Saccharomyces cerevisiae S288C: one gene and its partner. The protein of the gene in region 1 interacts with the protein of each later gene in a biochemical or structural test. Each region holds a gene or a part of one and is shown on either strand. Other genes may lie near its edges.

The links. The genes of interacting proteins can lie anywhere in the genome.
Region 2: the proteins of APL4 (region 1) and ENT3 form a complex in vitro, tested with the Saccharomyces cerevisiae proteins (2 studies listed by BioGRID).

The regions. Positions count from the first base shown.
Region 1 is NC_001148.4:622,035-631,654, reverse strand, and holds APL4 (AP-1 complex subunit gamma), read left to right. Parts: upstream 1-4,687; coding exon 4,688-7,186; downstream 7,187-9,620. Other genes in the region: NTO1 (Nto1p), read right to left, coding at 1-140; CSR2 (Csr2p), read right to left, coding at 410-3,775; YOP1 (Yop1p), read right to left, coding at 7,453-7,944, 8,078-8,128. UniProt on the Saccharomyces cerevisiae protein: Adaptins are components of the adapter complexes which link clathrin to receptors in coated vesicles. Clathrin-associated protein complexes are believed to interact with the cytoplasmic tails of membrane proteins, leading to their selection and concentration.
Region 2 is NC_001142.9:652,045-657,848, reverse strand, and holds ENT3 (Ent3p), read left to right. Parts: upstream 1-1,885; coding exon 1,886-3,112; downstream 3,113-5,804. Other genes in the region: VPS70 (putative zinc metalloprotease), read left to right, coding at 1-1,595; YJR124C (uncharacterized protein), read left to right, coding at 3,611-4,957; 40S ribosomal protein uS7 RPS5, read right to left, coding at 5,271-5,804. UniProt on the Saccharomyces cerevisiae protein: Involved in the recruitment of clathrin to the Golgi network and endosomes to form clathrin coated vesicles. Plays a role in the trafficking of clathrin between the Golgi network and endosomes.

The DNA.
Region 1 (9,620 bases):
GTATCGGTGCTGTTATCCTTTGTTTCCACTAAGGGAACGATGAACGGCAGTAAAGTATCGGCATTAAGATCAGGATAAAAATCTTGGAAGTGCTTTTCTTCACGTAGTTTAGGCCCATCATCTAATGATCCCCTATTCATTAGGTGCTAAGTCGTACAACGCCCTTGTCAAAGTTATTTGAATAAAAAAACCTAATACGTTGAAAAACTGCACGGCTTTCAAACTTTCAAACTTGTTTATTATTATCGTCTTCCATTTTTTTCGGTGCTACAATTTGCGATGAGCCGAAAGACATATATTCTACGTATATTACACGAAAAAAAAAGTTAGTTCGGACAGGTACATATTTGTACAAATGTATATATATATGTGTGTGTGAGGTTTATAAAAAAAGTGAAGATATTAATATTTATGATGAAATCTCGTCATATCTTGGTGGTTCAGGACCCGGATGAATTATTGGACCAGGCCCCTCTGTATCATTATCATTATTATCATTATCATTATAATTGTAGTCGGTATTGGTAAAAGTGCGCGGACTATACCGTGGTGTGAATATATTATTGTTAAAGTTCATTGTGACAATGTCTCTTTTAAATAGCGTGGCCGCGGTCTCCTGTTCAAAGATATCCTGCGAAAGCAAACCGTCCATATTGCTATAGGCGTTATTTTCATTCCCCATTTGTAGCGCATAATCTTCAGTCCTCAAGGGGCGTGCTTGTTGCTCTTGCTGGTCCCGGATTGGGGCACCGTTAGACGAGTCCGAAACAGCGGTTGTTTTTGGATGTAAGGTTGACAGGTAACCATTTGCGAGGGAAGTCGACCTAGACAAATTCAACTGTTGCATGGAAATGTCATCGGGATAATAAGATACAGAAGATCTTGGTGATGCTGAAACTGATGTTGCCTCTTCAAAAGTTGGTGGCAGGACTTTAGAAGATTCAGTGGTGGCCATGTCATAAGTCGGTAAGTCTATATTTGAAGTGTTACAAAGGTCAGAAATCAAATAAATTGGTGTATCAACAATTACTTCATAATGCCTTATGATTTTTGAGCTACCACTATCAGTTTTGCTAACCCTCAAGACGATTTCTAATTTATGAGAACATTGGATATTCTTAAAATGCATACTGTCCAAATATAAACCGCGTCTTGGTTTATTCAACCGTGTGTAGTGCTGAATGGGAACATTCGAGCTAGTTTGCAAAGATGTATTCGAGTTTCCATTTGTATCATTGACCTCATTATGATTCTTGTCTTGCGGTATTTTATGAACTGTCTTGGAAGCCCTGTTAGGGCGACCCACTAGAAAGCCCAATACATTGCCGTTATTAGAGGTGTTCTCACTCTGAGTTGGATCTTTTATTGGGTCGAAAAGATCGATACCATATGGTGGTAGACTTGCAGCTTTGGTAGCGTCCACTTCACAATATTTTGGAAATTTTAACTTCGTTTTAACAGTAAAGGACTCAGAAAATGGGATATCTTTGTTGTTTTCTTTTGATGAAGTGTAGGCTAATAAGTTATCATCAACTGTATTGGTGACAACTTCCTCTCTAATAGAAGGCCCACTAGTACATTTAGAGGCCACCTCAAATAGAGGCAAGCTTCTGTCCTTCTTTTTTCTCACTAAATATCTCATATGATAGGGATTGCAAGGATCTGAAGCCAATGGATCCAACTGGTCAAAATCATATTGATAGTCTTTACTCCTGTAGGAGATTTTTTCTCTACAACTAACACGAATTCTCTTGACACTAAGACTTTTTACTAGAGGTGCCACTTTAATTGTGATTGGAATTTCACCATTCAAGGGCACATACTTTTGGGCGAATGAAATTTCATAAGAAAGACAATTCTCCCAAACCTTGTTAATGTAAAGTGGCTTATTTGCTGTAGTGACAGAGATTTCTGGCGGAGTTCTCACCAAATTAAGCGGGTACTGTAAATTTATAGTGTCTTCAGAATCATGTTGCATCGCTAAACCACTAGAAGATGCGCCATTATTATCTGACCTTCCGTTAGAATTATTCCTTTTTAAGCGCCCCTTCGCACTTTTTAACCATGAGGAGGGAAATGCGATTTTTCCAGTAGAATTTTTGTCGTTATTGTAGGTTTCTCCTTCTATGGTGTCATCAATTTGAGAATATTCATAAGAATCAGAACAGGAATATGAACGCAGTTTTTGAGGAGAAGAGATAGAAGAAGAACGTGGCCGTGATGCAACCAACTGTGTATGTTCATCCTTCAATTTTGTCGCTAATCTTAAGCTGTAGGATACCCTCGCTGATGGGTAGTAAAGCGATTCAGGAATACGACTGGCAAGCACTATGGGGATAGTAAAGACATAAACACCAGCATTTAACTTGTTCGTAGAATTCGAGGCATTTAAATTGTTTAATATATTTTCCCTAAGAACTGCTTTATTCGAGAAAGAACGGCGTTTCCTCATCGATAATTTCTGGAGCACTTTCAATTTCCTGTTATTGGAATGATTTTCAACGATATCAAGAGGAGACTTTGCGCCTTGCGGAATGAAAAGATTAAAGTTGTCTGCATTTAAGGTCCAGTCCAAAGAACCTATATTATAGCATTCCTCGTTAACATTCTTGGTAGGGGGAAGACCATTGAACCACACCACTCTCACGTTAGAAGTGAGTTCTACTTTAATATCAGAAAGGGTAGTTGATTTATTCAGGGAAAATATCAATGCAAAGCTGAATGAAGGCATTTGGCTATTCCAAGCATTAGGAAGAGAACGCGAGTGAGAATTAGGATGTCTGTTTCTCGCGGGAGAATTGTTATTATTCATAGGGTTGTTATTGCCACTCGCAACAAAGGAATCCGCATCTGTTGTGTTATTGTTCGAGGCCGGAGAAGCACGATCAGAATTGCTTGTATCCATAGCATTACCTGTCCTTGCTGTATTAGAGGGGCTGGTTCGCTGTGTATGTAACGGAAATAGTGATAAATCATTGTTTTCATTCAAAGTGTCCATCGTAGGACATGAAGGGAGGAAATCACTTTCTGCAGTGTTAGTGGACCCGACAGGCTGTGTTCGCGCCTGATTTAAAGAACCATGAATCAGTGATAGATACTCTGTTTCATCACTTTTTGTAGTTGGCAAGAAAACTGATTCTGCACTTGTTGCAATGGAAATTTCCAGCACACTTTTCTTATTATATAACGGTGTTTGCTTGATGAAACCACGATCCGCTAAATAGTCCGATAGCACCCTATTAATAAACATAGTGCTATTACTAGCATGATGTGTTATGAATGACCTAACAATATCATTATTACTAGATATTTGTTTTGCCGCGACTGGATCTGACTCTCTCCTCAACCCGGTGTCTTGCCTTGTGTGTAACTGGTCTATGGTGGTATACGGAACAGAATTCCTGTGCCTATCCGGTTGGTAAGATCCCGTAATATTGTAAGCCTTAGTGCCAACATCTGAAGGAAAACTGTTCCCCCTACACATGGCAGTTGATGCGGTAGAATAGTTACGGTTCATCAAATTGGAATAATCGTCCATACTAGATGTTGGACTATTACCAGTTCCAAAAAAAGAAGAAAGGGCGTCCCTAACACTAGATGACCTCCTTCTACCACTAAATCCTGACGATTTTTGTGGCGAGAGGGAGGTAGAAATCATCTCTCTGTTACGGGCTAGCCTTTGCAATATATCACCCTCGTCGCCTGCAGAAACGTTCTGGACGACATCTCTCTTGTTGCCGTTGCTCGCAATTGCTATTGGGACAGTAGATTGCATGATTGACTTTGCTTACTAGTCTGACTGATTACCCTTGGAGAGCCATCATAATAAATAAAACAGAGAAACGACGATATATATAGTCCAAACCGTGACAACTATGCAGGGAACGGGAGACGGGATTCAATAAGCCGGGGGTCTTTTCCATGTGATACCGAGTAAGGCATAGCCATCATTTGGCAGATCTACAAAATAAAGAAGCCCAGGGTTTGGCCGTGCAGAATCGCTGCGCCAACCCCGGATTTTGCATTTCTTATTCCACTAGGGCTGGTCGTGGGGTACGTGGGGAGCGGTATCCCTTAAAATGAAAAAAAAGAAACTATACCACCCACGCATCCAAACGACCGGGCGAGCGGGTAATAGATGGTTCTATTCTTTAGCCGCCGAAGCTTTCTTCTCTATATACATGTAAATGTATATAATTCCGGAAGTGTGGTCCTGCTACGAACAACACAAACCGATTAATTGATAATGGAAAGAGGAATGAGGTTGGGACAAGTAATACCAACTGGGGCTACAGGAAGGTGGTGAAAGAGGGTATCACATATAAGAACAAACCGTTTATTCGATTATTTAAATCTATTTTAGGCCACGAAGGTAGAGAGGTTGCGAGTGAAAACAACTAACTTTCTTTACGATATTTCTCAATTGGAACTGACAGCGTTAAAGTCCATATTTTGCTACTGATTGCTTTTCTTTGGTGTTATCTACCTTAAGAGAAAAAAAATTCAAATGAAGATTACCCGACTCTGAGTTTTGACGTCCTTAGCTGTTTGTATTCACTGAATTTAGTGGGCTTGGCCATATGAGAATTACAACTAAATCATACTTTTTCGAGATTTTATACTGCTAATATTGGAGAAGAAATATTGACCATCTTGATTTAGCAACGAGAAAGACCTGAACACCATAATGGGCTCTTCGTTGAGAAGCTTTATCAAAGACGTTCGTGGTGCCAAAACACTGGCAGATGAAAGGGCAATTATAACGAAACAATCTGCTAAAATTAGGACAAAATTGAGAGATGACCATCTACCACATGAAAAAAGGCGAGTAAATATCCAGAAACTTCTGTATCTATACATTCTAGGGGAAAAGACACATTTCGGTCAGGTGGAGTCTATCAATTTAATTGCTTCTGACGATTTTGTCGATAAAAGATTAGGCTATCTGGCCGCAACTTTATTGTTGGACGAATCTGAAGATTTATTGACACTCTTAACGAACATGTTGAACAACGATTTGCATCATCCCAACAAATATGCAGTGTCACTTGCACTAACCTCATTAGGCTTTTTGAGCTCCCCTGAATTAGCCAGAGATTTATACCCAGACGTCGAAAATATCATCAAAAATTCAAGAGACCCTTTCCTCTTGAAAAAAGCGCTTCAATGTGCTGCCAAACTAATTTTCAAAGACGTTTCACTTTTAGAAATCTTCAACATCGAAGACATTACTAAGATATTGTCTAGTCATTCAATATGTACTCACGGTGTACTTTTAGGCGTTACGAAAATCATACAATCTATTTTGTTAATTGGATTGAACAGAAAAAAAGATGAGGATGAAGATGAAGACGGTATTGATTACAGCAATGACATCTTGTCTCCATTATCTTTACTTTTGCGTGATTTTTTCATTCGTTTGGAAAATATGAATTCTAAAAATATTGAACCTGGATATGATGTCCAAGGTATTTGTGACCCATTTCTGCAGTGTGAAATAATTTACACTTTAAAACTATACTTTCAAGTTGGTGAGCTCTTAAATTCGAACAATGTTTTGGACTACAAAGATAATTTCTGCGATTTATTGACTCGTATTGCGACGAATACGGATTCAACGAAAAACAGCGGACAGGCCATTCTTTATGAGACCGTGAAGACGATCTTTTCGTTGGATTTGAACCAGCCTCTACGTGTCCTTGGTATTAACATCTTGGCCAAGTTTCTTGCAGGAAAAGATAATAATACTAAATACGTTTCATTAAACACCTTATTAAAAGTTGTTCCCCAAGAGCCTACCGCAGTACAAAGGCATAGAAAATTCATTTCTCATTGTCTGCAGGATACCGATGTGTCGATCCGCATGAGAGCGTTAGAGTTGAGCTTCGCCATCTTGGACGATTCAAATTTAGTGGAATTGGTTAACGAATTGATGAAATTTTTGGCAAAACAGGATGAAGATTCAAAAGATCTCATAATATACACTATAGATCACTTAATTGACACTTTTGATACCCGCGTTGTCAAAGATGAAAGCTGGAAATTAGATGTTTTCTTTAATATCTTAAAATTAGTGGGATCGTTTATCAACTATGAAAAAATTAATGATATTCTAATCATAATAAATAATACGAGCCAGTTATCCGACAAATCTGAATTTTTACGGAAAATGCTGACAATTTCACTAAATGGAACATCAGCGGAGATTTCCGAGGAAAATATTGGTTGGCAGTTGGTTTTGATTTGGTGCATTGGCGAATATGGCGATTTAGTACTCAACGAGGGCAATAAAAATGGTGCAGACATAATCAATGAGTCATCTATTACTGATTACTTACTAACTTTGCAAGAACTCTACACAGCAACGAATCTGAAGATAATCAATTACATTTTAACAGCAGCATTAAAATTATCTGTGAGGTTCCATGACGCGAAAAATATTGAAAAACTAAGACAACTGATATTGAGCTACACGGATTCCACTGATTTATCACTGCAAATGAAAAGCAATCAATACGAGATATTTTTCAATCAGTCAATTTCTGTGAAGAAGATCATTTTAGAAACAATGCCTAAATTTGAAAAAATTACCGAGGAACAGGATAATGGAAAAGCTCTATCGAAAAACCTTATCTCCAACGAACCAGTTGATCTGCTGTCAGATTTATTGGGTGAGGATAGCAAGGCTGAAAGCAAGGCTTCTACTGGTGACAATGTGAAACCAATTGACATATTAGAAGAGATTTTTGGAGAGAAGAATGACATTGCTCAGGTGCCCAAAAATGCGAACAAGGAAGAATCAATCAATCATTCGTCGGCAGTGGAGGCAAACTCAGGTGTCACCTTACCATTGGATGCCAACAAGATATATGACAGTTCCTCACTGAATGTATATGCTTCCTTGCTCTCTGCAAACTCTGGATTAGCACATTTGGATTTATATTTTCAGGCAAAGTCTTTAATATCTGACTTAAAAACTTTCTGTGCCGTTCCTAAAGCTCAAAAGCTAACACTAGGCCAGTTATATCCATCTTCCACAATAAACGCCAGCCAAATTTGCAAGCAGTCATTGAAAATTTCTGGATCTGGGAAACTGAAGTTAAGAGTTAAGTTGGATTTTCATTTAAATGGCTCTTCATCTATCACCAATGAACAGTTCGATCACAAATTCGATGAAACTCTATAAAAAATGCCTTTAAAATTACAGAACATAACATGATTAATGACCTTGCGTTGGATGGTCTGTCGCGCATATCAAGAGACACGTCACGACACAACACGATGAATAGAAATGCTATCTTCTGGGACACCATAAACGACTCCAAAATATTTTATATGTTAAGTAGCGATATATAACAACTAATAACATATGTACTTATATGCTCTCAATAGAATAGATAACAAAGAGAACAAAAACGAGAGTTTGATTTGAGGATATAGGTGAGTTGCCTCTTAATGAACAGAAGCACCTGTAGCCTTAGAAGCCTCATTGACGGAAGCTCTAATTTCATCCTTTTCTGTCTTGCTAACATCTCTTAGGATATATCTGTCGGTCAATGGGGCTACGATCTTTTGATAGATCATTCTAGCGCCACCAGTTTGAGGCAAGGCAATGTAGATTAAGAAAACGGTTTTCAAAAACCAGTAGAATGGAATCAAATATAGAATTGCCTTGGACCAGAATTCAATGACACTCAAAAATGAAAAGACAATCCAGTAGGTCAAGAGTTGTGTGTCATCGGTGGACGTTGGTGTCTTCAAAGCAACCAACGATAAATATGCTGGCAACACAAACCCAGCAAAATTGGAAAGAATTTCACCTACACCTCCGACGTTAATAAAAATCAAAAGGAGATAAGCGAAACCTAAACCAGCAACTAAATAAGATTTAGGCAAATTAGTTTTATTTTCTAATTGCTGTAAAATTCTATTACCAGAGTACTTCTGTAGAAAAAAATGTAGCAAGGAGGGTGAAAATTAGCTTTCTTGTTAGTATAACTGCTTCGGTTACGTGTGTCGGGTCATTTGGCTGTTTGAACCATGATGACGATGGAACCAATAAAACCATCTTACATACGGTATCGAATTGTTTCATTTGAGAGTGAATACTAGATGCATATTCGGACATGATTGGAGTGCGGTTATGTCTTTGTTTATTTGTTTTCACTACCAATTGCAATTTTAGATTCTTTCTTTCGGAATAACAAGCTTCAAGGGAATGTTTTTTAGTTTTAAATCAAAAAAAATTTTGAAGGACATATTTTTTTTTTTTTCGTTCAACCTTGAAAGGGGTTACGCATACTCCCTTTGACGTGGACAAGAAGAGAGAATAACGGCGCTAAGAAAGCGAACCACGAAAATTCGAGAATGGTGATAAAAAAATAAAGGTTAGAATGCCACACAGCCTTCCAAAGAGTGAATGAAAATCTTTTGACTTGATGTAGTTTTTTTTTTTTCAGGAGGAAGTTTAATCCGGATTGTGATTAAATCAGTACTGCCCCTCCAGCAGCCATATAACCTACTTACTGCGTAACTAGTAATTGCGCTCACCCATCCTATCTATGCAACTCTTCTGAAGGTCTTCTCAAGCACTTAATTTTTGTTTTTCAGGAGATTGACAGGGTTTGTCGCTTGTCTTGGCACTCATTCCAGCACTGATTGGGCAGCTAGTTTGAAGAGTTGCACCAATAAATTAGAACCTCATTAAAGTCATGAATGGACGAGCAAGTAGCAAGTCTTATAAATACTTGAAAACGTGCATGTGATGATGGCATCGCTCCCTGTTGAATTTCTTTTTTTCCGTTGGAAGGTGCACTTGTTGAGCGCATTAAAGTTTTATAAAGCATAGTATTCAGGCTCAAAATAAAAGGGGACAAAACAAAACGTGCCGGTGAAACATATATGTCTTGAGAAAATTATTATAATGTTGTCTTCGTCTCTTACTTTTAGAATGTACTCTTTAAAAGTTAGACGCTTGGACCATTTATAAAGCACAAGAATGCTTGTTTATTTCATTCTGATATGCGGATTTAGCTCAGTTGGGAGAGCGCCAGACTGAAGAAAAAACTTCGGTCAAGTTATCTGGAGGTCCTGTGTTCGATCCACAGAATTCGCATTTATTTTTTCGACCTGCCAACTGCGGAAAGTTGGTTCTTGAACTTGACTGCTCCTTCTCTTATGGAAATATCAATGAAAATATAGACTCAAGTAGGAAGATGAAGGAGTTTTTCAACTTGAATGTCTGACTTTTTTTCAAAATTTTCTTACGCCATTGGCCATCTTTTAATGTCTCCAACAAAAAACCAATAACGGATAATCAATATAAGCGTTGGAAAAGAATTTATCACGGCCAAAATTGTTCCCGTTAAAAGTTCGAAGTTTTAGGGACATAAATTTGTCTAAAACTCATGGAAGCACACTTTGCTTCCATTACGTATTGTATAATATTTCCTACTATATCGTGGACTGATACTTTCTTGAGATATCTACATACTTTCTCCGTCAGAGTCAGTCATCCCACCTCAGAGTTTACTAAAAGAGGTCAAAAAGAGGGAAGCAGACAGACTAAGGTAGATGTCCAAAGTTGACAAATAAATATCTGGCTCCACAGTTTTTCAAAA
Region 2 (5,804 bases), on another chromosome or scaffold:
TAAAGGTAAAGAATGCAGAACTTTATGGCGCTTCCAGTGTCATTATATATACAGACCCATTTGACGATGGTAAAGTTACTGAGGAAAATGGGTTTTTACACTATCCTTATGGACCAGCAAGAAACCCAAGTTATATTAGGAGAGATTCTGTAAACTATTTCAGTGACACTCCAGGAGATCCGACAACTCCAGGGTATCCCTCCAAGGATTCCGACACTGAACATATGTCACCGGTAGGGAGAGTGCCGAGGATACCATCGGTGCCGATGAGTGCTAGAGATGTCCAACCAATTTTAGAAAGATTGAATGGCAGGGGTTTTCAAATTGGGCCCGGTAGTAATATAAAAGATTTTGGATCATTCACTGGACCTTCAAGCTCTATCGATAAAGTCCATTTGCATAATGAGCTAACTTACAACATCAAGGAAATGAGTAGTGTAGAGGTTAGTATCCCTGGTATATTCACTGAGGGGGAGATTATTATCGGAGCTCATAGGGATTCGCTCGCCTCGAGTAGCGCCGGTGATGCAAATAGTGGCAGCGCTATTCTTTTAGAAATTGCACGAGGAATGAGTAAATTACTTAAGCATGGTTGGAAGCCACTGCGTCCTATCAAACTAATAAGTTGGGATGGTGAACGATCCGGCCTTCTGGGATCTACAGATTATGCAGAAGCTCATGCTGCGATTCTCAGGAGAAGGGCCTTGGTATACCTAAATCTAGATAATGCAATCTCTGGGACAAATTTTCACTGTAAAGCCAACCCACTTTTACAAGACGTGATATACGAAGCTGCTAAGCTCACGGAATTTAATGGGCACGAAGACTGGTCATTGTTCGACCATTGGAAATACACTTCTAATGCCACTATTTCTCTACTTGATGGGTTGTCTAGTTACACTTCATTTCAGTACCATCTTGGAGTGCCCGCTGCACATTTTCAGTTTAATGCCAATGATACTTCAGGCGCAGTCTATCATAGTAACTCCGTATTCGATAGCCCAACTTGGTTGGAAAAATTTACCAATTCTGACTACAAGTTACACAACACCATGGCCATGTTTGTAGGTTTGACAACGCTGATGCTGAGTGAAAACGAACTGGCAAGATTCAATACACATGTTTACCTGAAGAAAATATATAACTGGTATATCGCATGGCACTCTAATCTATCTTCAGCATTTCCCCAGGACGATGAAGTGAACAGCTTAGCAAAAAGGGTTCTGGACTTATTAAAAGTTGCCACACAGGAAGATAGCATCCAATTTGACCAACAAAATGGTATTCTCTATAAAGAGTGTAGGGAAGCTTTACCTGTTTGGGCTTTTTACAAAAAAATCAAGAGCTATATTAAACTGCAACGATCCAATAGCAAATCAAAGCAAATTGATCAATTATTTATTACACACAGAGGACTGAAAGACAGGGAATGGATGAAGTACTCTCTTTTAGCACCTAGTAAGTTTGAGGGATCTGTCGGGGAAGTTTTGCCCGGCCTTCACGAAGGATTGGCTGATATTGATAGAAACGAGGTCATTCAGTGGTTAACCATTTTGCTAAGCCAATTCAGCAACGTTCGCTATTTACTTCAATAAGCATTTAAGTACCTCACCTCAGTATATACATTTATTTTATTTGCATACGTAGAGTGACTTTGAATAATAACCATGAGAGGCTTTTTTGTATATACTCTATAAACATGGCTTCAATTTCTTATACATGTCACACCGTACGTTGTGCGAGGTGATTAGGAAAAGTAAAAGGGGACTAGAAGAATCATGAAATGATTTGTAGATACAGTTATTTGAGGAAAGCAAAAATTACCAATTCAGGAAGGTGTAGGGACGTCGATAGGAGATCACATCGTTAATTAGTGTTAGGAAGAATGAGTTTAGAGGATACATTAGCCAACATGTCATTATATGACGCCAAGAAATATTTTCGTAAAGCTCAAAATGTTGTTTTCAATTATACTGAGATGGAGGGGAAAGTTCGTGAAGCGACAAACAACGAGCCTTGGGGTGCCTCATCCACTTTAATGGACCAGATTTCTCAAGGAACTTACAATTTCAGGGAAAGAGAAGAAATTTTGTCCATGATATTCAGAAGGTTCACTGAAAAGGCAGGTAGTGAGTGGAGGCAAATTTATAAAGCCTTGCAATTGCTCGATTACCTTATCAAACACGGTTCTGAAAGGTTTATCGATGATACAAGGAATAGCATTAACTTAATTAGGATTTTAGAAACTTTTCACTATATTGATTCCCAGGGAAGAGATCAAGGAATTAATGTCAGAACTAGGGTCAAAGCTTTGATTGAATTATTGAGCGACGATAATAAGATACGCGCAGAAAGAAAAAAGGCAAGAGAAACGGCAAAGAAGTACAAGGGCGTTGCTGGAGGATCTGCCTCTGCTGATGGCAGTTTGAATTCGAAGGCAGGTTTCACGTCAACGAAAGTGCACGGCATTAGCGTGAGTGCTGATTTCGATAGTGACAATGAAGATAACGAAGATGGTTCTTTTAGTCAAAATGGATATAACGATAATGCCTCGAGAGCCACATCTACTCCTGGGCAAGGAAAACAAGAACCAGAGGACTTTGTTGACTTTTTTTCTAGTGAGTCTTCAAAACCATCTAAAGAACTCATACAAGAAGATGAAAAGAAGGCGGACGAAGAAGAGGACGATGATGACGAGTTTTCAGAATTTCAAAGCGCCGTCCCTGTTACCAACCCTGCTAATTCGTTTAACTTGCTAAACACGAGCCCAATTGAGGGTATGCCCGCCACCACGAGTTCAATGCCTTTTTATAACAGCTCCACTACCGACCAAGGCAAGATTACCCCAGCTATTGCGGAACCTAAAAAAGTAGATCCTTTTAGCTCTCTCTTTTCAACTGCAAAGGCATCTGCAGAAGCACCTAGTGCTCCTAAAGCATCCCAAGCGAAAGCCGCTGCCTCTAATCCTGTATCTAATAGCACAACTGCACTAAGTACAGATCAAGATGATGATGACGAATTTGGTGAAATGCATGGTGGAGCTGTTCAACAAGAACAGAATACCAATAATAACCATACATCATCCAAAGAAATCGATTTACTTTCCTTTTGAGTGATATTATTGGTTTACACAATATGTAAATGTTTTATAACAATAGAAAGTACTTTGTAACAGGTATTACGAACATTACTATCTAATCTCCACTGTATTTCTCCTTTATATGTTTGTCTTGATTTCGTGAAATAGTTTGTGAACATTTTTTTGATCTTTTTTTCGTAAAGAAGGGCCCTTTTCAAATTTATTTACATTTTGGTCATTTGAAAATACTTTACTTAAAAAGACGAGGAAGAAACTGTAAATCCATAGTTCGAGAGTTGAAGTGCCCTTCAAAACAAAAACTCCTGACTTTTTTTGCTCATTTTTAGTCAATGAACTAAAACTCACCTTCCTTCTCGTTTATTTTTGCCTAGCATTATAGAGCAATTATAACTATATATTAAAGTTGACGCACCGAAAAAAAAGGCACGAAAGAAAACTCTACTAATTTTTCACATCTCGAAAAAGCTCATTGCAGAAGGATTTACCAATATTTCTAAAGTTAACGTAACCATGGCACCGGAAATTTTTGTTAAATTCAAGTGTGCAAGTAGAGACATAAAGCTACTATGGGCGTCCGTCTTTCTTAGACTTCTATCATATGGTTTAACAAATCAAGTTTTGACGCTTTTTTTAAATGCCATCAATATGACAGAGGATAAAATTGGGCTGTTTATGTCATTAACACTGGCAGGGGATGTAATTTGCTCTTACATTCTTACTTGGTATGCGGATTCCTGGGGCCGAAGAAGAGTCCTAGTTTATGGTTGTGCAATGATGTTGTTAAGTGGGTTGGTTTTCAGTTTTAGCGAAAATTTCACCCTCTTGCTAGTATTTGCTATCTTCGGTGTTATATCGCCTTCAAGTGATGAAGTCGGGCCTTTCAAATCTATAGAAGAGGCCATGATTGCACATCTGAGTCCTCATAATGCAAGACCAGAGATTTATGCTATTCACGCCTTGGTTGGAACAATTGGAAGCGCTCTAGGTGCAATAATTTGTGGTATATTTGTAGATCTTTTGAAAAGAACTGGTTTAGCTGCTACTGATTTGCAATGTTATAAATTAGTTTTCTTACTGTATGCCTTCTTCGCCTTTTGCAAAATGGTCATCATGCTCTTATTATCAGATGCTACAGAATTGGACGGGCATTATGAACATACAGATTGCAATGAAGAAACAGCTGAACCATTGGACGTTAACGATGAAACTGCACCATTAATGAGACAAGCAACTCACCCAGAAGAAAGATCCAACAAACTATCTAAGGAGACCGTTTCGGTTTTGATGAAATTGTTAGTAATCTTCATGGTCGACTCTCTCGGGTCCGGGTTTATGACAAGTGGCTGGATGGTTTACTACTATAGTAAGCAATTTTTGATGGGATCTCTGGCGTTGGGTACTTTATTTTTCATCACGCAACTGGTTATGGCATCTTCCACCATCCCATCATCAATAATTGCCAGATGTTTTGGCCCAGTAAGAGCCACACTATTGGTCCAAATTCCATCAGGGATATTTTCTATTCTCATCCCTATGGCCAAGAATTACTTGCCCTTATCTATTTTGTTTTTGAATCTGCATTTTGCAACAACTGCCATGGACGTTACACCAAGGCAAATTCTATTAACAAATATCATCAAACCAAGAGATTTAACCAAAGTTATGGGGGTGGTCAACATTGGAAAGACATTTGCTCGGTGTGTTGGTCCAATATTCACGGGTATACTTGCTAACAATAATTATTTATGGCTATGTTACATCATTAGTGGGTCCTTGGTGATAACGGCGGATCTAATACTGGCATGCATGTTTTTAGGAGTGGACGCTAAAATTAAAAAGCAAATGAACCGCCATTAATGCAGCAGCAAATGTAGAGTGACTTAGAAACATGTGTAGATCATTTCAAGGAAACGTTACGTTTAGAGACAATGTAAATAGTACCCAGTTAAAGTATCTGACACACGAGGAAGTACAACCAATAGCATTTATATTTACTTGATAGATTTGCGTAAGATATATTATTTAAAAATTGATAGTCCTATTTTTTTTTACATCAAAAGATAAGATTGTATTATGTTATAAATTTAAACAATAGAGTGTACAAAGAAGATAAAAGTAATAATAAGAAAAACATATGTAATATTGAAAATCTTTCACTTTTTTTAGCTTCTTAACGGTTAGACTTGGCAACACGTTCCAATTCATCCTTCTTCTTGATAGCGTAAGAAGTAGAGGAACCCTTAGCAGCATTGATCAATTCTTCGGCCAAAGTTTCAGCAATGGTCTTGATGTTTCTGAAAGCAGCTTCTCTGGCACCAATGGTCAACAAAGCAATAGCTTGGTTAACTCTTCTCAATGGAGAAACATCGACAGCTTGACGTCTAGCAGCACCACCACCACCGACTCTGGTGGTGTCTTCTCTTGGACCAGTGTTGGTGATAGCGTCAACAACAACTTGGATTGGGTTTTGGTCAGTCAAGACATTGATGATGTCCAAAGTGTGCTTGATGATTCTAACAGCCTTTAATTTCTTACCGTTGTTTCTACCGTTCATCATCAAGGAGTTGGTCAATCTTTCAATGATTGGACATTGAGCCTTTCTGAATCTCTTGTTGGCGTAACGACCAGCGGTGTGAGCAACAAAGATTGGTTGTCTAACTTGAACGTAGTCAACCAAAGAAGCATCCTTAACTTCAACTTCTTC